Linked DNA regions of Mytilus edulis. The protein of the gene in region 1 binds, or shares a complex with, the protein of each later gene. Links are inferred from orthologs where the notes say so. Each region holds a gene or a part of one and is shown in the gene's direction. Other genes may lie near its edges.

The links. The genes of interacting proteins can lie anywhere in the genome.
Region 2: the proteins of ras-related protein rab7 (region 1) and run domain Beclin-1-interacting and cysteine-rich domain-containing protein-like are in contact, whole or in part, in a crystal structure (PDB 6WCW), measured with the Homo sapiens proteins. The link is inferred for Mytilus edulis from reciprocal best matches to the Homo sapiens genes RAB7A and RUBCN. Residues at the interface, in NP_004628.4 of Homo sapiens: Ile41, Gly42, Ala43, Asp44, Trp62, Gln71, Ser72, Leu73, Gly74, Val75, Ala76, Phe77, Arg79, Ser101, Asp104, Glu105, Ile108, Gln109, Ser111; in NP_055502.1 of Homo sapiens: His818, Asn821, Met822, Lys824, Thr825, Arg827, Leu883, Gln885, Ala886, Lys887, Gly888, Phe889, Ile890, Glu892, Gln895, Glu897, Ile900, Pro903, Cys915, Lys916, Arg931, Arg934, Arg938.
Region 3: the proteins of ras-related protein rab7 (region 1) and PDZ domain-containing protein 8-like are in contact, whole or in part, in a crystal structure (PDB 7F6J), measured with the Homo sapiens proteins. The link is inferred for Mytilus edulis from reciprocal best matches to the Homo sapiens genes RAB7A and PDZD8. Residues at the interface, in NP_004628.4 of Homo sapiens: Lys10, Leu14, Asp16, Ser17, Lys38, Ile41, Gly42, Ala43, Asp44, Phe45, Gln60, Trp62, Gly66, Glu68, Arg69, Phe70, Gln71, Ser72, Leu73, Gly74, Val75, Ala76, Phe77, Tyr78, Arg79, Thr98, Ser101, Trp102, Glu105, Phe106; in NP_776152.1 of Homo sapiens: Ile999, Lys1000, Leu1001, Val1002, Arg1003, Lys1004, Glu1005, Gly1007, Leu1008, Asp1009, Asp1010, Phe1013, Ile1014, Lys1017, Gln1044, Leu1051, Asn1054, Asn1055, Val1058, Leu1077, Leu1084, Gln1085, Thr1088, Ile1092.

What each region holds. Positions count from the first base shown.
Region 1 is NC_092344.1:39,828,469-39,836,492, reverse strand, and holds the start of ras-related protein rab7, read left to right. Parts: upstream 1-4,830; 5' UTR 4,831-4,871; coding exon of another isoform or gene 4,872-4,927; 5' UTR 4,928-5,094; intron 5,095-7,556; coding exon 7,557-7,609; intron 7,610-8,024. Other genes in the region: EEF1A lysine methyltransferase 2-like, read right to left, coding at 708-815, 2,020-2,137, 3,542-3,607, 4,872-4,927.
Region 2 is NC_092346.1:87,321,453-87,330,124, reverse strand, and holds the start of run domain Beclin-1-interacting and cysteine-rich domain-containing protein-like, read left to right. Parts: upstream 1-5,497; 5' UTR 5,498-5,539; coding exon 5,540-5,574; intron 5,575-8,672. Other genes in the region: dynein regulatory complex protein 9-like, read left to right, coding at 830-940.
Region 3 is NC_092351.1:31,657,253-31,665,198, forward strand, and holds the start of PDZ domain-containing protein 8-like, read left to right. Parts: upstream 1-4,771; 5' UTR 4,772-5,095; coding exon 5,096-5,245; intron 5,246-7,630; coding exon 7,631-7,749; intron 7,750-7,946. UniProt on the Homo sapiens protein: Molecular tethering protein that connects endoplasmic reticulum and mitochondria membranes. PDZD8-dependent endoplasmic reticulum-mitochondria membrane tethering is essential for endoplasmic reticulum-mitochondria Ca(2+) transfer.

The sequences.
Region 1 (8,024 bases):
GTTTTTGGCCTCTTTTTTGTCCTTTTTTCCTAGACTGTTTGCCCCATAACCCTTAAAATATATCCCAACCTATTACTTATGGTATTAAACAATGGGTACAATTTCAGAACAATTGAAAAACTTATACACAACTTATTGTCCTGACACTAGATAAATGCTTGTTTTGGGCCCCTAATTTCTAAACCTTAGATAACCCCCAAAATCAACCCAAGCTTCCTTTTGTGGTTATAAACATTGTGTTAAAATTTGATTGATTTCTAATTACTAAAATTGTCCTGACACTAGATAAATGATGGTTTTGGGCCCCTTTTGGCCCCTAATTCCTAAACCTTAGGGACCATAACCTCCAAAATCAATACCAAGCTTCCTTTTGTGGTTATAAACATTGTGTTAAAATTTTATTGATTTCTATATACTTACCGGTATACTAATGAAATTATCCAGAAACCATACGTCTTAAGACGACGACACCGACTACGATGTGATACCAATATACAACCGCAATTTTTGGGGTCGTATGAAAACTACAAGAAAGCTGAAATTTCTATAACTTTTTTGCAGAGCAAACAATTATGTCTAAATAACAAAAAGCTTAAAACTAAATGCTGACATCACAACTGTTTGTATTGGTTAACTACTTTGACCAATCTTTTAAATTAATCAGGTTGATATCATATTTAAAAAAATAAAAAGTGAAACATCCTTACTTCGTATTTTATATTTTCAACATTACTGCCTACAGCTATAGACTTGGCTAATTCTATTCCACCTTCAGAATAGTCAACTCCTGTCAAATTACTGTAACCTCTCTGGCTCTAAAGTATAAAAAACATATATATATATCTGTTAATATTATTAATATAGTTTTTCATTTTATATCTACATGTACTATGATTTCCATGGAATATTTCAAAATTGTAATGATTAGTTTTTTTTTCTGTTCATGTAGATGATACTTATTTCATATCTTAATACTAATATCAGTGGCTGAGCAGGTTTTATGGATAGCTGAAAATCAACTGATCGTAATGTTTAAATATGTTTTTTTGGATCACTGTCTGATTGCTGTACATTTAACACTCTTTGTTCATACAGATAGGATGTTCCAAAATTACCCTATCACATTTTTAGGGATATCCCAAGAGACATGTTAAGCTAACCATTTTGCACTTGGCACAAATGACAGGCGCGGATCCAGAGGGGGGGTTCCAGGGGTTGGAACCCCCCCTTTTTTTTGGCCGATCAATGCATTTGAATGGGAGCATATAGCTGGAACCCCCCTTTACTCTGGGTTGTGAACCCCCCCTTTTTAGAATGGCTGGATCCGCCCCTGAATGATTACATGGTCAATCAGTATTAAAAATAAATAATCTTTTAAGATCCTAACAATAAAGCAAAAATTATAACTTTGAATATCCCAACTCTTCCAGTGCGTTATTGCTTTTGGGTTACAATGATATATTATAACAAGTATGAATATATAAGTTGGTATTTGTGCCCTCTTCATTTAGAAATGTTACTGTTACCATATATACTTTTCATAAATTTGTCATCTTAATAAATTCAGGAAATGCTTTATATGTAACTTTGAAAAAACATAAACCTTCAATATTTATAAGAATGAGTGGTGATGTCATGTTTGGCAGAGCCAATACTATTGTACTAATAAAACCAAAAAATGTATTTAAAAGTGATTAGAGATATGAATTACATTTAAAGAGATATGGTTGAGAGGTTCAGCTTGCTTTAAGACCAGGTTTAATTCACCAATTTCTACATAATGAAATGCCTTTACCAATCAGAAATATGGCAGTTATTTTCCATTTGATTAATGTGTTTGAGCTTTTGATTTTGCCAATTGATACTTAAGGGACTTTCTGATTTGAATTTTCCCTTTTTTTAAAACTTTTTTCTGACTTTAAAGAAAGTTATAAGTACACTACATATATTTACTCATGTTAGTCATCAGTAAAGAAGAATGTAAAACAACGTTCATGGACACAACAATAAGCAAACTACCAATTCTACAAGGAGCATTCCATTGCCACAGCCTAAATCTATTATGGAATCATCTGATTTTATTTCCTCATTATCTTCTATCCAGTCCAGTATTCTTTCCTGACTATCCTCTCCAAACCTAAAATTATTGAACAGGTATTAGAACTTTTTCTTTCTATAAGCAGTTTTTCATTTTTGGCATCTTTATTCTTACTTCTTCTCCTCCGATCAAAAGCATTTTATGTGAAAACTTAAAATATTGTGGTATGCATCATTTATTCAAGCAGCAGAAACAAAAACAAAAGTAACATGAAGACTTTTTCTTGAAAAAGATACGATAAAAAGAGTTTCTCCTCATTTTGCTCATAACTAGTTTTACCAACAAAATGTGTGCAAAATAGTCATTTCACAATATGTCAATTTTGAAGATGTTTATAATGTCATAGTGAAATCACATCTTCAATTTCTATTCTAAACTAGGTCAGTATCATTTTATTTTTCATTTATCGATTGAACCATGTAATATTAAGGAATTGGATTAATATTACAGTTTTGGAAATTTCAGGGCCAGCTTATCATATCTCATTCACTTGTATCTCTCAATAAACGAAGAACAAAAACTTATGCGCTAACTTATATGGAAACAAACAGACAGCTATCAAAATAACAATGAATAAAAATTTTGTTATTAACCATTTTAGCCAAGAAAAAACAATCAATATCATATTGATAGTTTTTTCTTAGCTATTATATGAAGTTTCCATATAAGCCTCAATAAAAGTTATAAAATAAAGTTGACATAAATAAACAAAAATTGTTGTTTTTTTAACCAACAAGAAACAAATGTTTTTTTTCACCTAAGGCTATTAGTTAACTCTTTTCCATTGTTTTACATATCATTATTGCTATTGAAGCCAATTATAGCTTTCTATGAGGTTTGTTTTGCTCATTGTTGAAGGCTGTACAGAGGCCTATATTTGTTGACTACTACATTATTTGGTCTTTGGTTGAGAGTTGTCTCATTGGCAATTTAACCACATCTTCTTATTATTTATTAATACTAAATGTTTGTGTTCACTTACATTGATCTTTGCAAGTTCAAGTATCTATCATGTCTATATCCAACATTTGATTTATTACTATTCATAATTTGATCATATATAGAAATATGAAGATGTGGTATGAGTGCTGATGAGACATCTCTGCAGTCACAATTTGTAAAAGTTAATCATTATAAGGTCAAAGTCTTAGTACATTCTTCAACACGGAGCCTTGGCTCATGCCGAACAGCAAGCTATAAAGGGCCCCAAAACAACTAGTGTAAAACCATTCAAACGTGAAAAACAACGGTCTTAACTATATATAAAAAACGAGAAACGAGATACACTTACATGTAAGAACCACATCAACAAACTACTGAACATGTATGCATATTAAAGAATATAGAAGATATGTTTATAAATATGCCACAACATAATCCCTTTCCAAGAAAAAGCAGAAACGTTTTACTTTTCTTAACCTAGTTTTTCATTTAATAATTTACCAGATCTCTCCAACATCACCTATATCTTTAAAAGCTTCTAGTTCTTTTTCATATGTGGAATCCCAGCTGAAAAAGAAATATGAGGATGTCAGTTTAGACATATGTATAAGAATTAATAATGTACTGGTAAAAAGAAATAAGCGATCATTAATCGAATAATTTTCGAAGGACATTAAATATAGCTACATTTTGTATTTAGGAAGGTCCTCAGGATATTCATACTATACTGGAGTGGCAGTTTTTTTTTTTTACAGAAAAGAGATAGCACAAAAACAAGTACAAAATGGTGATTAAGAAACCAGATCTCAACGAAATGACAGAAAAAAAAATCTGAAAAAAAAAAATTTGTCCTAAATCCCAATTTAATGTTTAGGACAAATCGATTTTAGATTTGGTCATGACTGGCAAATTAACCGTTTCAGAACCTTTATCTCTAATTTAGTAAATAATTGACGTCAGTGAAGTTGGACAGATGTCTTGTACAGTACTTTGTTCACATCTATCATCGTTTACCATACTACATGTAATTTCTTGCGGATAAAGTTTCACTATCATGCAGCCTTGTTGTTTCAGTATACTTAAATTTCGTTTTTGCTGTACTCACAAATCCATTGTTTCCTCAAATAAATTCAGTTATAAAAACAATTTCTAATTAATTCTTGTGGACTCATAGTTAAGGAGAACAACACCACCAACTTTAATTTGTTCTTTGATATATCCATATGCTTTTTGATATTCTCTCAATGCTGTTAAATAGTCATCTATTGTTTCACCTTGTCAAGAAGTGTCTTTCTAAATAAATAAACTGTACATGCAACTTTTCTTCCTTTATTCATATATTCTTGACATCCTGGTCACGGCACCAAAATTTTGACATGTTGAGAATATGTGAAGGAAGAAAACCTTACCTGTTATAATTTTTTAGTAATCTATAGAATGCCCAAGTATACAAGTGTAAGGTCAGAAAGTCTTTACATTACAATACAACAACTTAGGGACCTTCTAGTGTTGTGTACGTGCCATATTTACAACAAAAGGAGTTAGCAATGTTACCCGAGTAGAACTTCAATGGTACGAGATGATATAGTACTAGTTTACAACGATAGGAGTTAATAATCTTCAATGAAAATAACTGGTTCAGTCTCCCTTTGATCAGTTGATTTCCATCATTCATTCATTGTCTGACAACTTTATATATAAAAAAAATATATAGTCTTTACAGTCATCACTATTTTGTGCCTTATAATCAATAAAATTACATACTGTCAGAAAACTTTATAAATCATAATGTTTACAGTAAACGCATTTGCTTTTGTGCACACGTGCTTACTGTTCAATAGTGCCTAATGATGATGATTCAAAATCACGTTGCCCTGGACCTGACATGTCAACAACTTTGGGTCGATATTGTAAGAGACCTTCCGAAAAATTATTCCGGAAGTAAATAAATTTTGACGTAATATGGGTCACGCGACTGCGCCATTTTGTAGGAGTTTTGATTATTAACAGATCTTACAGCTGAAGTAACCTATTTATTCACAAACAAAAACAAGGTAATTTAATTTAGAAGTAAGATCTGAACTCATATTTCAGTTTGATCGCTATTGTCAGTCATAAAATTGCACAAGAACACCAGAAACGACTGTTCAATGACACCTAGTTTTTATTTTATTAAAATGTTGATCAACAGGACAAATATTGAAATAAACTAATCAACAAACTGTATAACGTCTGATTATACATAAAACTGCTAAGATGTCTATCATTCTTGCAAAAGAAGGAGACTTTACTTTCGTAAATAACACAAATAAAAAATCACAAAAAAATACCTAGAAACATGACCTCAATAAATTTGATGTTGATCAGCTGATTCATTTAGAGCCCAGATAATTTATTGTCAAGTCTGTTTTCTTCTTTTTTCAATGAAAGAGTGACATGAGAAAAAAAATTGTGCCACACGGGGAAAAATGCTCAGTCTCGAAATTGTATGATATGTCTTCAATAGTATGATATGTGTAGCTGAGTAACTTGAATACATTTTTACAGTTTTACTTCAGTCTGAAATCATGGCGCTGCTCTACAATCATGACAATGGCTACTTTAACGTTTGAATCATTCAGAATCATCCATAGACCTCTTTCCAATGTTTGCGCCTTTCTGTAATTTTCATATGTCTCATCATTCTCATTGCTGATGTTATTACTTCACAGTACATTGTACAGTAAGCACCAACAGTTCGTTGTCCTTTACTTTAGGCCGATTCACTCATTCATCTAAAACAAATTGAAATTGGTATAAAATTTGAAAACAATAATTTTTTTAATAAGTTCAAAACACTAATGTAGATCAAATTGATCCGACTGCTGATATGCCAACTGTCATGTACATGTTGTATAGTCCAAATATTATGACGTCTGGCAAGGCTATTTTAATTTTTTTTCTTGGACGCCTTCCTACCACGTCATAACGCTGAAGCCATTTTTTACGTCTGGAGTTTGAGACCTAATTTTGCAGCGGCGGATGCAGGAATTTTCGAAACGGGGGGTGCTAACCCAGGGAACCCAGGGCAAAGGGGGGGTGCAAAACATATGTCCCGATACAAATGCATTGATCGGCAAAATTAAAGGGGGGGTGCGCACCCCCGGAACCCCCCCCCCCTGGATCTGCCACTGTTTTGATGTGAAATTTTCATCGCTGGTTAGAAATTTTTACTTTATTACAAATTTTTGTGCATATTGATGTAAAATATTTCCAGAAATATCCAAAAGAAATGATAAAATAAGATGTGATTCCATTTCAAGTGGGCAAATATTTATTTTGTTTCAAAGAGATTTCCCACAATTACCAAAGAAACGTGACTTCCGGTGAAAATAAAATTTAAAAATCGGTTAAATTTGAACGGACCCGAATTTCCGAAAATTGGCCAAATATTGTAAATCACAGGATTGCAATTATTATCTAACTTTTGAACTTATCAGTTTTGTTGTTTTTTATCCCTTCAGAAGGCTAAAACAATAACAAGAACGATTTTATTTGTGTTACTTTGTTTATATGATGAAATCAGCTAATGCGCAGTATCACTGGCCGCACGGACACCAGGGACATCACTGTATTAGACAATGAGTATTAGTTTTATTACCAGTCATAATCATGTAAAACCAACTTACTATGGAATTAACATTATTTGTGGGATACCAATTATCATGGATTTCATTGGTAAAGATGGAACACGATATTGAAAGTTTTTGAAGTTCATTTTTTCTTCATGCTTGTAGCCAAGTATTGGCAAAAACAGGATTTCAAATACATGTACAAAATGTATCTGTGAAAATACCGATTTTCCTAAATCCATGAAATTAGATGAATCCACAAGTACAGCGTTTATGTACATGTAATATGAATAGACATACACAGATTCCCGTAAATTTTGGACGGCATAAAACAAAATATCTGACGTCACAATGGAAAAGTGATTGTTGTTAACTATAAAATTGATATCAAGTATTATTTATATAACATTTTTTTGCAAGGTAGGCAAATTCAGGTTGTCATGAGCCTCTAGTTTCTAATGTGAGTAGGCTATAAAGACATTGATTTAGATGTACATCGTCATGTACCACACATTTTGTACATCATTACATTGTTGTATTTCTTAAACTAATGATCTGAAAGTAAACATGTCATGTACATGTCAGGACTAGGTCAGGAATGTGGTCAGTGGTTGCTGCTGTCTCTTTATGTTATTGTGTCAAACTGTCAACGGTATTGAGAATATGCTATGATAACCAGCTTTTCTGTTAAAATGCTTGAATTATGCCTGAAAGTTGCAATTTCCTTCATTTTTCTTGGAATCTATGTATACATATATGCAAATAAATAAAATAGAGATAGATGAAAAAAAAAGATTTCAATATTAATTTGTAGTAATGCAAGTTAAAAAAATAAATAATATCTTTTATAGTAATTTGAAAACAAAACATGTCAAAATTTTATTAATGGATTATTATTTTTTCAGATGGCATCAAGAAAAAAAGTTTTGCTTAAAGTTATTATATTAGGGGACAGTGGGTAAGTTGAGAAGTCACTTTAAGAAATATGTAAATGAACAGTAATAGTAATACTGTATTTATTTATGCCATCACAACTTTGATGAGGAGTTTTCTTGACAGCAAAACAGTGGTCAATCCTGTATTCCAGTCTATTCCTTGATGGTGTCAACATTTTTGTTCAGTATGAGGTTCATGTTTCTTTTAGGGGTCATGATCATGATCTGTAACTTTGTCAAAATTTGATGGAATTTTACAAAACTGTCAATAGTTTGACAGAAGTTAAGGTTCCAATTGTTAAGGATTAAAAAAAACTGTATCAAGAGCAAATGTTATGAAACTTCATGTTCAAGAAGTAGCATCTGAACCTTGTCTTGGCAAATCCCCGAAATGATTTTTTTCATATAAAAAAAACTTTAGTAATAGTATATTGTAAG
Region 2 (8,672 bases), on another chromosome or scaffold:
TCTGGGATATCATGTTGAAAGCAAAATAAATATTTGTCCACCTCAAATGGAATCGTATCTTATTTTATCATATTTTTTTTATATTTCTGGAAATATTTTGTATCAATAAGCACAAAAAAGGTAGGACTTTGTAACTTTATATAAACCACAAAAAAATACTTAACTTGAACCAGATAGATATTGAGATACTGTGTTAATTTAAGCACTTTCATGAAATTTATGATTTTTTACCAATTAGATAGTGTTGTTCCTAGTTTCTGCAGTCTTTAAAAGTTCTCATCAAGTTGGACTTTTTGTTACCAGTTAGTGCCCAACATACATTTAGTGAAAAACAAACTTATATTAATACACAGTTTGATTAATCTTTGCATCATATATATAAGGTCAATAGGCTATTTGCCAATTCCTGTAATTAACCCTGTTATTAGAGATCCCTTTCTTAGTTGTCTCCCTTACGAAGGACAATAATTTGTATTTACAATGGAGAGCTAGCAGAAAGATCATAATGTGAGGAATCTTTGAGGTTTTCAAATCTTTTAATTACATTAATTTGTTGTTAAGCTGAATACTTTTGACATCAGAAATTAGTTAAACCACCGATACATCACTTTCAATCCATCATGCTTTGCATTGGCAAAAGTAAATTTTGTCCAGTATGGAACCGGTGTACAATTGACAAAGGGAAGAAATTTGTTTAAAAAGTGTGTAATAACAGAATTAAATCGGTAATTGGCAAATGGACTATTAGGAATTATATTATATTGCACAAACAGTTGAAGAAAATTCACAAAAATCAAAATTTTTCATTCTTTATTTCTCTGTTTTACAGATCCAAGCCTGGTGGAGAGGAGTCATGGTTAGAAAAGGATTTGGACCATACAGTAAAAAGAAGAAAGGAAAGAAGGGCAAAAAAGGAAAGAAAGGAAAGAAGAAGAAGTAGACTTGAAAATTTTCAAATTTACTTATGTAATTATTGTTTACCATGGACTGTGATAATGAACAAGTTATTTTTATTTTTATCTTAATTTTACTGTATATTTTAAAATGTCAGAACATAAAGTTTTTGTTGTGAATATATAAAATAAAGAAAATAAAACTCTTATACATATTTTATTAATTATATACATGTAATATAATGTGTAGTTACGATGAACAATACAAGGATGCTTTTGAAATAAGCAGTTTAAAAATCTAGTTTAAACAAAATCACTGAAGTGCGAAGTTACAGCCTTTCCTGGTAATATGATTGTAGGATTTGTCAATTTTCAGCCCTTCCAAACATGTATGAGCATTTTAATAAAGAGGTACAGAGCATAGCAACGTAAATTGAAGCTATAATTGTTAGCAGTTACAAGTTGGGACTGTTATAAATGATTACACAAAATTAGATCAGTTTTCAATTTCAGTGAAAACTCTGGATTAGAAACAGTAAATACTTAAAATCTTAACAATCTAGAGATTTATATTTTAAAACTTTGCTTTCAAGCTCACCAGGCCCACAGGCCCAAGTTAGCTAATCTCATCACTTGTGTCCAGCATTGTCTTTTAATTTTACAAAACTGTTGTCTTCTGGGCCCCAATATTTATTGGGGTATCTAGTTTAAAGAATACCTATAGGTAAAATGCAAGTTTCGTCTATAATCTTGCAAACTCCTATGCATAAAGAAAATCTTGACAGGGACAGAAATGGTCACAATGTTGAGGTCAGTTGCTGCATATTTACATCAAAACTGCCAGACGACCCTTTATAAATGACAAATTTTACCAGTTTAACAAAGTTTTGCCTGTTATTTTTAAAAAACTATGGTTGATAGAGATTTTAAATAGCAAAAGTCAACATGACTTGCGTCATCAGTGGAGTCATCAAAAGAATTATTTCCCTTTTATAATAGGATTTTTTTGTACTGCCTAATAACTTAAAGAAGCTGGCTTGTCATGTTGGGATTTTTGTCAGATTTTTGGAATCCTTTGGTTTTATCCATTTGAATGCATAAAAAAATTTTGCCCGGTGACCCCCATTTTTCTTTTGATAATTCTTATACATGTATAATGATAAGCTGTCTGTTAAAGTCTTTTAAAATTTTAATTACTTTTTAATAGTTTTTGAGGACTTTAACTTGTAAATGATAAAGCTATGGAAAGTCAAGAGAGAACATTTTCCCGCCAAAATTCCAATGGCTAATATATTGAAAACGAGCACAGTGACCTATATATTTTTTTTGCTCTTTGGATTCCTTTATTAATCCCCTATCAATATAAACTAGTGTTTTGAAAAGTTAATTACTTTGAAACCGAGAAGCGAATTCCCTTAAAAATTTCAAAAGACAGACAATTTGAATAGTAAAAATAGTCAGCAAGACCAGATCTACAAACAAGTTTAATGGCCGAAATCTTCAGTTGACTCCTTTTTGGAGTTAAAGTTCTTTAATGACTATTTTTACAAATATTTTTTGTGTTTTTGCCCTTTGCTGATCATGCACACACATTGAGGTGAGCGACACTGGTTCTTTAGAACTTGTAGTTTATTAAATGAAGAAAAAAAGTTGATGTTTTGCAAATAATTCACAGTATTTGTAATTTATGCAAAGAATCTATTCATAAACAGAGATGTTGGGCATAGAATAGTACTATTCAGGTTGGTGGACATAAAAAAATCAATGAATATGTTACATAAGATATGGAATATCCACTCATGAACATCTGCATATAAAATAATTCAATGTATATATAGTTTCATATTCATACAAAAAAAACATGCAAGAGGAGTTGCAGTAAAAAGGTGTGTACTTTACAGTTCCATCTGCATAACTTTACAACTTCAATAAATTGGAACATCCTGTCCTTCCATCATACATACCTGTATTTAGATTTAACTTTGTACAATGTAACAAGTATCACTAAAATAAAGAGGTAGGGCAAATTTTACTTGAATTCATTTCTCACCACAGCAATTAAAAAAGGCTTGCAATCTTTTTACAAATACATCTACATTATGCAGCTGGATGTACTTGAGATTCTAACAATAGTGTGGCTTATTTCAATACACATGACCGGTTGGAAAATACCTGAAGATAACTGAAAACCACAAATTTGACAGATTTTGTCAAATTTGAATAATACCAATAAAATGTGAAATAATGATGTTATTAACCTAATTTAAAATGTATGTTGGATTTAAAGCTATAGATGGTCTTTTAGATACATTTTTATTCTCTTTGGTGAGAGACATCCTTCGTTGAAAAAGGACAATTAAGATTCATAACCAGAGACAATTGTATTATGATCTATTATAGGTGTCATACCACCAATTACTCCCTCAAATTTAGAACGTATGTGAAAGTAGGCCTACTCGGACAAAAAAAAGTGCATTTGATGTCATTGTTCACCTAAACTAACTAACAAATTTGCAGAAATGAAAGTTTTGTTGAAAGAGAAATATATTAAGACTATTTTGAGCCAAAATTTACCTGTCTATGAGTTTGCATTAAAAATTGAGGATTAATGCGCTCCATAGTATACTAATTTAAGATTTCCAGAAAACCAGGGGTTATTTTTAGTGGTACCTCCTTTCGGAAGCTCTCTGCTTTCTTATATGATTTTGAATGTATGTTGAAAATTGGCATGCAGAAAGGTGACACCTGTACAATTCAGGATATACCTAGTTTCTATGAAGTTAAACTTGAGGTAAACTATTTAGAAAGCTGTGAAAATTGCAAAATTTGGTTGAACAGATAGGGACTTTTAATTGGTGGTATGACACCTTTAAGCAAAATGCGGTGAAACATCAAAATCAGAAAACAATTGTTTTTTTTTGTCTTAACTGATCATTTGAGATAAAAGTAGCCACATTTCAATCTTTTTGGGGGCAAAATGTCACATATTGCAAATTTAGAGCCTAAAACTTGAGTTTGTCCTATTTTTAGCTTTTCCCATCCTGACAATATGCTTTTATATAAAAAATGTCCTAAATAATGTTATAAATGCACAGAAAGGTATTCTGTGGTGTTAAACATTGAAACATAAGTTGTTTACTACCCCCCAAAAAATTTTGTCATGCAGATTTAATGAAATTATTTGATTTTTACCCCTTATAGCATTGCGTCATACTATGTACTTGGCAGATAGCATAGCCTAATGTAAGCACTGCAGAAACTCACAAAAGCACCATTTATTATTCCAAATGAAATTTTTATATCTTAAATTTTATTAACTGATGTAAATAAACACGGTTAAATGACCATGACTGCACTTTTGATCAATTTGTAGTACTTTACTGACACCAGATGAAAAAAAGGGGGGTCAATATTCCTCGACACTTCAATACCTTGGATTTTTTACTAAATTCATTGCAAAAATTGTTGGAAGTCTTTAAAGAAGTAGAACAAACAAGAAAAAATTAGCAAACAATGATCTTGATATTGAAAGTTTATGTTCCTGTAGCCCAAAATGAAATTTTCAAGTATTTTCTATCAAAGTCATACATTACAGTCAGTTTAAATTGAGCTGTGAAATTTTTACTATAAGTCGCATAATGCTCAAATAGGCTGTTTTTAACTACAAATTGACTAAGGATTAAGAATAAAGCAAAATAAAAGATTTCTAATCAACTTTTTTGTCTCTTTAGGTGTCATACCACCAATTACTCCCTCAAATTTAGAACGTATGTGAAAGTAGGCCTACTCGGACAAAAAAAAGTGCATTTGATGTCATTGTTCACCTAAACTAACTAACAAATTTGCAGAAATGAAAGTTTTGTTGAAAGAGAAATATATTAAGACTATTTTGAGCCAAAATTTACCTGTCTATGAGTTTGCATTAAAAATTGAGGATTAATGCGCTCCATAGTATACTAATTTAAGATTTCCAGAAAACCAGGGGTTATTTTTAGTGGTACCTCCTTTCGGAAGCTCTCTGCTTTCTTATATGATTTTGAATGTATGTTGAAAATTGGCATGCAGAAAGGTGACACCTGTACAATTCAGGATATACCTAGTTTCTATGAAGTTAAACTTGAGGTAAACTATTTAGAAAGCTGTGAAAATTGCAAAATTTGGTTGAACAGATAGGGACTTTTAATTGGTGGTATGACACCTATATGTCTCTGTTCATAACATATCAAAAAGCCACACATTTTGTTCATAAAGAGATTTTTTCAAAAACCTGAGACCCAAGAAAAACAAATATCTATATTATAGGCTCTAAAAACCTTGCATTTAGGAGATCTTGTCAAAATATGATGATTAAGTGTATTTTTCAGACCTTGAAGCTTTACAAAAACCTTGTCCACAACTTATGATACATAATGTTATGTAGCTAAAAGGTGCAAAGATTAATGATTCCCTATATAACCAATTGTTTCGGGAAAGGGGGGCTCTAAATCCGCCTCTGTATAATGGCTTAAGTAAAACTAAGTTTAAATCATCTATAGTTTGTATTTCCCGCTATTTTAACTTAAATTTCATTCTGGAACTCTTATGACTTTACCTTGCAGTTGTACAAAAATATGTTGTCCGAATGTAAATTAGTGATGTAAACAGGAATGGCGGATGAGGAAAATCCTCATTTAAAACATAGGTATTTTGTGTATTTATAGCAAGATTTTCTCATTTCAAAGTTCAAAGACAAAACTTAAACTCATGGGTTTACTTTGCTCAATGATCTGAAAAGTTGTCATTATGTAGGAATATATGGAAACGTGTTTTCATTTCGATACGCCCTCTGACTGCATGACTATGAGACCTAGATCCCTCTGCCTCTGGTTTTAATATTCACTCTCAATTTTACCAGGACCCAGAGTATGAATGTGATTTTTTTCTTCTATATCAGATCGCTTACTGATGTCCAGTTCAAGATTAAACACATACATTCAACAGGTTGGGAACAAACCCCCTGTATGGTGATTATACCTGTATAGAGGGATAATCCTTCTTTAGAGGGTAAAAATTATCCCTCTATAGAGGGGTATTTTTGTTTGCACTGGATTTAAAGCAAATTGGGGCAGAATGGCATTTTCTAGTTATATTGGCTATAATCTCTAGCATTATAAGATAACTTAGATAAGATAACTTTATTAGCACTAACACATTGACAATAAATGGTTATGGCAACAAATTAAAGACTAACTACAATAACATATATATACAATGAAGGAGTGACAGTGGATAATTATGAGAGAAATATATAAAAAATAAATGAGAAGCATATACATTATTACAAAAATCAAGTACCTTTTAATAATGAGTTTCTCACCAACAAGCATTCATTCAAATAGTTGACAACAATTTTTAATATTGTTTGGGAATTACTATTTAGAATTGATATAAGTAAGTTATATGATAAGGAAGAAAATTTGTTGTTCAATAGAACATTATTTAATTTTTTAATAAGGTTATCTCTCACATATTTATAGGAGGAACATTTTAAAAGAAAGTGAAGTTCATCTTCAATGTCTCCATTGTTACAGCAAAGGCATACCCTATTCTGCTTTGGTATTTTTAGATATCGCCCTCTTTCAATAGATAAAGTATGAGCACTTAACCTCAATTTACATAATGTTGATCTATCACTTTTGGATTTGCATTGATCAACATACGAGGGTCTTTTATTTGGTTTATAAAGTATATTAAAAAAGTTCATTTTTTTATTTTGATTGATGTCAGTCTCTTGCTTTTGGAAGGCTATATCATTGATTCTCTCTTGAATGTGTTTTAAATACATCTTAATATCAATAGGATTTAGATTAATAAAATGAAAACCAAGTCTTGAAAGGAGATTTTTCATATTTATTATCCAAGAGTTATTTTTTTCAGTTGCTTTATATATTTTTAGGGCAAGTGAATTATTTGATTCAAGTATATGAAGCCAATATTTTATTGCTGAAAATTCTATTCTGGTATATAAAGGCAATCTATTTAGCTCGGCTAAACATGCAGCATTTGATGCTTTACAATGTATTCCTAGAATTTCTTTAATAAATTTATACTGCAAGTGTTCAAAGGGATCTGAATCCCTGTGTTGTTTGCCTATTCCCCATACTTCACTACCGTATAGAGCAATAGGCACAACTAGGGAGTCAAATAATTTTTCTTATATGCATCAACATATGCACTTTACTAAAAATTGGGATAACCAGTTTTCTGCTAAAGTGACAAAACTTGCAATCTATTGTATACCTATCTGAACACCTGATTAACAACAAAAGGAATAGTTGACCTTTAAATTTCATGTTAAATCTAACAATAGAAATTCTGTTCAGTGAGGCATAAGTGAGTAGAATTTACCTGATCATCACAGCTTACAATCATGGTTGACAATAGATTTTATATTTAGTCAGATAAGCATCAAACTGGGCATGTGCATATTAAATTAAGTACATCAATTGGTGCATCAACTGTTCCAGGTTACTGCCATAATAAGAAGAGAATGCCATTCTGCCCTAATTTGCTTTAAATCCAGTGCAAACAAAAATACCCCTCTATAGAGGGATAATTTTTACCCTCTAAAGAAGGATTATCCCTCTATACAGGTATAATCACCATATAGGGGGTTTGTTCCCAACCTGTTACAAGCCAATGAAAACATGAAAAAAACAAAAAAAACTTGCAATGCTCAGATGCTAATCTTAGATGTTCTCAATTTGGAGGGTTGCCTCAATTCTGTTCACACCTACTGTACATGTGGTCCATGTATGTCTTATATCTTCAGCATTTATGCTACATTATCAAAATAGTCAAGTGATTTGTTGATCTTATTTCCTGTTGTGACGTTTTGGATAAGTAAAGATTTCGTATAGTGGGTGATACATTGTACATGCAAATGGAGCAGGTCTCTACAACACTTACCCTAAGATCATGGGATTCTATTAGGGTTTTTTTTGTTGCAAGGTTTTTATTAATGAGGGGGGGTAGGAGGGGTCCTGATCCTGAAATCCCGGGCTTACTTACTTACTGCCCTTGTACGCCATTGGCTTAAAAACATGAAATCCTGAGGTCTCAAATTTAAAGAAATTTAAATCCCAACATCCCAAAATTCAAAAAAAGAATTCCCAGATCCCAAAAAGGATCAATCCCGAAATCCAGAGCTTAAAAACACCTGATTCCGACGTCCCAAAAAGGTCCAGCCCTCCTCATTAATGGGAATAATGCGACTGAATCAGTGTTGCCATAATATATCATGCATTCTTAAGTCTGTATATCTGATACAAATAATTGTATGCAGATTTTCATGAAATCGTAATAATTAATCTCGCATTTTAGTCCATAGTCCATGCATTCTACAAAATACGCTAAAAAAAAATGCATTCAATAATTTCTGAATTTACAATACCCTAAAACGTTGTAAAAGGATTTACCTTATGACATCATAAGTGATTAATAAAGTCATGTAAGTATACATCATCTAATGCATTAATGTACTGTGAAGGATGTTAAACCACTCATTTATTGATACTTAAAATAAATGGTTTAAAGAATTGCAATAGATATAAGTTCTTAATATGAATACTTTATACATATACACAACAGCCCGGGTGGATTTTGCTTTTTCCACCGGCCCACCTGTGCCCACCCTAGCTATAATCTCTTTTTTTGTAAAAATAGTGATAACAAATGCTTATCTGCTTTTTTCAATTGACTGTACTTGCAAGTCTTTTGATTAAACAAAAGAAATTGCAT
Region 3 (7,946 bases), on another chromosome or scaffold:
TCATTCACTGCCCTGACTTGAGTCAAGTAAATTAACATGTGGCAATGTTTAATAATCATTAACGCAAACACTGTTCAATTTGAAAGCATCTTGTATCATGATGAATATTTATATTTAGTTAAAGTTCAGATACTAAAAAAGTGAAAACTAGAAATATTTTCTTGTTAAACAACAGTATACAATTCATTGGTTATCCTAATGTTACTACCATTAACAGAAGCGTGCATTCACTACAGAACGGTTAGTGCTTATTGTTGATAATACGTGGTTCACATGGTTCAACATTCAACAAAAGTGTTTTTATCTCTTTTAAAATGGTCAGCTTTTACTTTTATTAATAAAACTAAAATACTTATTGTGATATTAAAGGATAAAAATTACCTTAAACAGTATTTCTTTTAGTCATTTTGTGATGTTTATTTGAACATGTCATTGTAGTAATTACTTGGAGACATCTGTACAATGTAACATTTGGTGATCAATGCATTAGAAATATCACACAGGTGTTTAGATAAACATAAAATTAATACAGGTAGATGAAACATTTATAAGTATATCTACATGTTTTTTCATTTTGATACTGGTCAATTTTTTTTTTAACTTGACAAGGCTTTGGAAAAGACATTTTCGAAGAAACAACTAATAAAACATTACACAGAGAATTACTTTCTAGCTCATCTAGACCTAAGCAGCATGTAAGACATTTTCATTACTTTATATTAATTCCATTTTCCTAGCTTATACAAAATCAAAGATCGTATCATATTCATTTTGTAATCAATGCAATTAGTGTCTCCTTCATGGCAGTCTTGAACATATGCATTAAAAAAAACAAATATTAAATAAACAACACTGCTAATGTTTAGAGTTTGGTGCAGGTTGGATGTCATTGTGCAACAGTTTTATATAGAACCCTATGGGAAAAATAGAGAACTCTTTTTGTCGGAAAACATTATCAACAACTTAATTAACATACTATCCACAATGATCTGTGTCCACACTTATTTTATAGATATTTTACAAAAACTAGATTATATAAGGTCTATAAGATGTCTTATATACTATACTAAGTTCGAGTAAGTTAAACGGCTTGCCATACAAAAATAACAAAATATCTAATAAAAACGTAAAGATTTAACAAAACACATTAATATCAATATAAGGGACTGCAAGGTCATTTTCTTTTGTTTTGGGGATCTAAGAGGAAACTAATCTTTCAAGTCACAACTTCTTTATGACTTCATGGAACATCATTTGGATATCCCCTTTACTGTATATATCCTCATTACTGCTTTATAAAGACAGCTCGTCAACCTGATCTAGCAAGATCGACAGACATGATAGGCAACAGTCTCCTGGTCATTCATATAGCCGGGCGAGAAACAAGATAAAAAACTGATTGGTCTATATATATATTACATGGTGGGATAACTGTACATGAACACATACTAATTGAAGTGTTACAGTAAACAAAATATCGTTTTGAAATATGCTGAAAAAAATATTGTTTGTGATTAGCCATTAAAAATGATTTAGGGTACAAATCCCTGTCTTATCACAGAGAATCGAATAGTTGTTCCCTAATGAGCCCCAGTTGCTCACCTGGGACCTACTTTCAAATTTAATTCATGACCTCACTTTTGTTTGTTTTTGTATTGCTGATTTTTTTATTGTGAGATTCTTTCTATCTAAAAGCTTTTCGCAAAGTAACAGTCCCCAGGAAATTGTGTTGCCACACCCTGACACATTATTTGGAGTTCCAGCAGACCAGTCTTTATTTTTATTTTTTTATGCATTTTATCGTAGAAGCAACATATACCAATTTTAAAATATAGTTTGACTCTGATTGGCCTCAAACAGTGAGAACTTCTCTTCCCATGGGAAACACACTACCTCAGGACTACCGATGCCGTTTAAAAAGAATAAACATGTTGTGATGTTATACCTTTTATTTCAGAGAAGGAAGAAGTTTTGGTACCATTAAAATGTTTAATCCCGCTGCATTTTTTTGCGCCTGTCATAAGTCAGGAATCTGATGTTCAGTGGTTGTTGTCTGTACCATGATGCATGTCAATGGAATGTCTTAGTGATTCGGCTTTTTGTATTCTCCTTGTAATTGGTAGAAATTTTTGAACATGCAGACTTAATTTTCCTATTGGAAGTTTACCATGAAGTATTAATGTGTGTAATGTTAGCAGCTGGTTTGTTATTCGATATTGGATATTTAAAATTGTGTTGAAATTTTTTTGAAAAAAAGAGCCCCCTGAACTTTCAATGTGCTTAAAAATGAAGTAAGTCATAGACTCTGTATATAAAGGTTGTATAAGAAGGATTTCCCAGAATAATGTCATATTCGTTATCTATGGAGGGCTTATATTGTTACTTTTCAGGTATAAATTATCAAAATTTTAGGACAAAGGTCACAAGGCAATGGTGATAGCCCCCTGATCTCCCGATCTTCCCAATATTAAGCAGACATTTAGTCAATAGGTAGATGCAAACGTGACTAAAAGATATTTGGGTACACTTTCTGTCTTTCGAATAACGAATAATCTCAATTCAAATGGAGTTTGCAATCATAATCATACCCATTTAAATACATCATTAAATTCTTTTGAATAGAAAATGACATACAGCATCATGGTTACAATTCATATTCTTTAATCAGCATTAAAAGAGTAACTTCAAAAATAAATTGACAGCTAATCTTTCGGAAAATTATCATTAGTAGGTCGAACATACAATACAAGAGGATACTAAAGTTATATATCTGGAAACCAAATATCTTCGGACAACAGGTGTTACCAATTAACGACCACAAAATATTTTGCGGTCACAAACAAATTGTTTGAACCAAAAATAAATTGGATAATTTGAATATTTGACAAAAAAATATATTGTTGTTAATAGCAAACATTCAATTTATAGGCAAAAAAGGTATAATTGTTTCCTAGTTCCACTTAACTTCTAAGATTTACATAATAAGATTGAAAGCGTTCATCCAGGATAGTATATCTATAAGTTTATTGACTAAATTCTTCAATGAAGCTCACTGTAATATTATGGAGCATATCATCTGTACCAACTTCATCAAACACCTAGAAAGTCACTCCATCTTGACTGATGCTCAAACTGGTTTCAGAAAAGAATGGTCCTGTGAATCCCAACTGATACTCACAATTCAAGACCTAGCAAAAAACATCGACAATAAAGAGGAAGTAGATCTAATTCTCTTAGACTTCTACAAATACTGTACAAGATCAACCATTATGGCATTGGAGGAGCGACATTAAAATGTCTGAGAAATTTTCTGGAAGACAGACAGCAATGTGTACTCCTGGAAGGAGAGTCGTCAGAAACTTCGCTAGTGCAGTCTGGAGTTTCACAAGGTAGCGTGGTTGGCCCGTTTATGTTTCTTATTTTTATAAATGACATCCCAGAGTATGTGTCATTTTCAAATGTTAGACCTTTCGCAGACGCGACTGCGTTCTCTACCGACAGATAAGAAATGAAACAGATGTGACCATCCTTCAAAAAGACCTGGATGGACTACAACAATGGGAGGCAGACTGGTAGATGGAATTCCACCCCCAAAAATGCCAACTCTTTTAAGAGTAACAACAAAGCGAAAAACAGTTCAGGCAAATTATGATATCCACAGTCATATCCTAGAAGAGGTTGATTCTGCGAAATATCTTGGCGCCTCCATACACAAAACATTAAGTTGGAATAAACACATTGACAACATCGCAAAGAAAGCTAACTCTAACAGAGCTTTTCTTCAAAGGAACATCGAAAACTGTCCTAGCCTAGGTAAGACTAAAGCCTTATGCTACCAAACGCGTGTAAGACCACTAATAGAATACTCTGGTACCATCTGGGATCCATCTACTAAGGCAGCAACCATTTGATTTTATGGATTTTTTTTCTGGAAAAACTATTTTTTTGGCGAGAAGTCGAAAACATTTTTTTTCTTTCAATTTTAGCATTTACATATATAGTGGCAGCTGAGGGTGAAACAAACAATTTTTTTTTCTTAGGAAAAGAAACAAATTATTTTTTTCTCCCAAAACTGGAAACAAACTTTTTTTTCCAAAAAAATACATAGCCCCCCCCCCCCCCCCCCTCCCCCGAAAATCAAATGGTTGCTGCCTAAGGACAACATTAACAAATTAGAAGCTATGCAACGCCGACGCGCACGATTTATACTCAATGATTACAGAAGAACGAGTAGTGTAACATCAATGCTACAGGCACTAAACTGGAAGACAGTACTCCTGACAAGAAAGGAGAGCTCAATGTAAGGTCATCATGTTTTACAGGGTAGTGCACCAACTGATTGCCATACCAACTACAAATTTACAGCCAGTGAACATCATCAATCAAACAATCTGAAATTAAGGTGTGGTAAATGTCATTGTGAACATAACAGGCAAACAAAATTGCATGAAGACTAGAGTCACAAAGTTGTTCAAAACAATTTACCCCACTAGAAAAAAATATAAAAAAATCCTATGTTTTCTCCAACTGGTTACCCCAAATGAAAGAAAATTACCAGTCTCTTAGATCTTATTTAGAAACTCTGGGTGTCTCTGGCGTGAGGAACGATGAAAATCACGAATAAAAAGCTGACATAAAAATATCAAACTGAGAAGCACTGTAATTCTTTTTGGACAGGTGTCGAGGTGACACTTGTACTTGGTGTTATTTCTATCTTAACGTTGGATTCAACCTACTGTCGGTATTCAGATGCACAATTCTCGCGCGAATAATTACGTCCCCTTGTTAGAACTCTTCATTCACACGAATCAGGAGCAGAAAAATCGAAATATTATTTATTTTTGTGACAACATGATGTGGAATTGGAACACAAAATAAATCTGAATATGTTCTAGACACACCTCTTAAAACTCAATCTATGTATATAATACAAACAAGTACACCAAAGCACAAAAAATACACACCAAAACGGCGGAGGTAGTTGCAGACAGAAAAATGAAAATAAACAAAAACATTGACAATTTTCTTAATTTGTCATACATGAACAAATAACTCATTAAGTATCAATAATAATGGTGAGCTGAAGAAAAGTGGAATGTTGGTGGCGTTGTGTCTTGCCTCTTTTATTATTGGTGTTGTGGTTACTATTCTAATCCAGACATTTGTCATCAGAAGACGACTTCTTGCCATTCCTGTAGAACCAATTTCCCACAAACCACAGTTCTGTCAATATAAATTGCCAAAGGTGAGAAAAAGGAGATAGAAAACAAAAAAGTCTATAGGTTGTTTGAGACCTAAAATTTTTACAACATCTGTCATCATGGTCAACGTCTTTTCTGTTTAATATTTCACAAAACTATTGTTCAAAGAAAATTTACATTCAAACATGTTCATTACTTAGTTTTACATTACAGTATATTTCAGAGCTCCAGATAAGCTGCGTATTTGCGTGATCACGCAATACAAATAATAAAAAACCCAATGCAATTGCCCATTGCAGGGTTCAATAACCCAATTAATTCAAAGGAAAACCCAATTATAATCCAAAACCATAAGTTCTCAACCCTTTTATTGGCCACCATTTGCGTTATTTACCCTTATCTGTTTACAGTCGACGCGTAAACTATTTTTATAATATTTATAATTGGAAATTTCCTTTCGTTCTAAAAATAGATCCCTGCATCAAGTAGCTGAAATGGGTCCCTGTTAGAGTTTTCCGTTGCTCAATAGCTACACGTGTTTTTGAAAACATTTCGATCTTCTCGGCGTTTATCCAATTAGCGTGTGTCATGAAGTCATATTTTTTTTCGCATTGCTCGGGATTTATCATAACATACATTGAATTAAAACAAAAGTGAATGTCCGGTAAAAATATTGAATAGAAGCATGTTTTCTGCTTCTTTTGAAAAGCTTAGGGAAAGTTATGATGATAACAAGACTCAGCCAGTGTTTTTAGGAAGCGTCCATCGAACACACGGGCGTGTGTGCGTACCTTAACGAGAACATTGCTAATAAAAGCAGGGTTTCCTCAAAAACGAAATCAGTTGGAAAGATGAAAGGCCAAATCAATTATGACATGATAAAGCATCAGAAACCAAAAGTTCTAATAAAAGACAAATAAACCCAGATTTATGAAAATTGGAATAAAACAAAAACATTCAAGTATAATTAGAGTTTATATACTATTTTTTTTTTCTTCATTTTACGGTTAATTAATGAATACACACACAGGCACTGATCTCAGAATTTATTATATAAAGGTATAGGACGAGTGCCTGTGAATACACAATATCCGGTTTTTTTACAGTTTATATGAGAAAATACAAAACTAGCAGAAGGTTTGAAACGGAACACAAATCAAACCTACAATTGCTCGTCAATAAACCAAATAAAACAGCTAGCAAATAACCCTAACCCGAACCCTAAACCAAATAAAACAGCTAAACAAAGAAAGAAACATATTTAAGATGGAAAAAAATCTGGGGTTGATATTGCCTAAATATTCAATATTGTGTTGATGAAAAAACCCAATACATTAAGGAGCTTGGTGGTGAAAAACCCAATTTGATATTAACATGAGGGGTGACTTGGAATTGATAATGCAATCAAAAAACTTTATCACCCAATTATATAAGAAAATGGTGGGTAAAAAACCCAATTTGTGAATTCTTATCTGGAGCTCTGATATTTATGAAAGTACTTATTTCAAGTCAAACTAAATATAGTTTGGAAATTTTCTTCATCCTTATGCTTCATCTTTAAGCTTTAGTATTTTTAGTCTTTAGAAGTGTCAACTTGCAATTGACACTATAATCTCTCTGTATTTTCGATCACTGTGGTAATTTTATGTCGCTATTGTATAAAACTCATTAGTACACTTGCTACCTCAATAAAATGCATGTAGCAAAGCAGGTATAGACCAAGTTTTGGTCTTCATGTTCATGTTCCAGGTAAACACACTATGTACATTTTGTAGTATGTATACTGTATACAAGAAAACATTCTTTAGGACTCAAAGAGTTGAACATTCATTAAATAAAAAAATAAAGAGTTGATTCTTTAATAAATAAGAAATACCATTGTAACTGGAGAGCACAAATTTCATTACAAAATTGCTTGTCTCCACTGGGACTCGAACCCGGGACCTCTGTGTTACAAGGCAGCGCGCTAACCGACTGAGCTAAAGAAGTACTTCCTTAGCTCAACCGCTTACGGCTGACTAAGTATCTACTAAGTTTTTCTAAGGGAAGCAATCCCGTCACACCGCCCCCACCTCAAGAGTCATTATACTCTATAATGATGATATTTTCATCTTTTTTATATTTATATTTTAACCTGGCTAGGTAATTCTTCTAACAGTGGGTTATTATTGTTGGGCGCCAATGTAACCGTAGAGCACGAATTTCATTACAAAATTGCTTGTCTCCACCGGGACTCGAACTCGAGACCTCTGTGTTACAAGGCAGCGCACTAACCGACTGAGCTAAAGAAGTACTTCCTTAGCTCAACTGCTTACGGCTGACTAAGTATCTACTAAGTTTTTCTAAGGGAAGCAATCCTGTCACACCATGCATAAACATTACATGTAAAAGGTTTGTAACATGATGCATGTTCTGATAATGTTTTACAGGAATTGCTAGCAGTAATACATGATCAGGATCAGAAAGGACGCAAAGAATCATGTATAGCATTAAATTTGGTCATTCAGTTTTTATTCAAAGAGCTACGAGATACAAATCGTGTTCGAAGGTATGGTTTCACACATTCATGATTGAAGCTAGTTTTAATAGCCACACAGTTCACATGCTTTTAAAAGTCAACTTTTATAAAGGAGACGTACATATTAGGCTAATTTTAACCTGTTAACATGGTTAATGATTTGAAAATAAAAAAAAATATAAATACTGTTACAAATCACATTTTTTTAAGATTAGAAGAAAATAGAT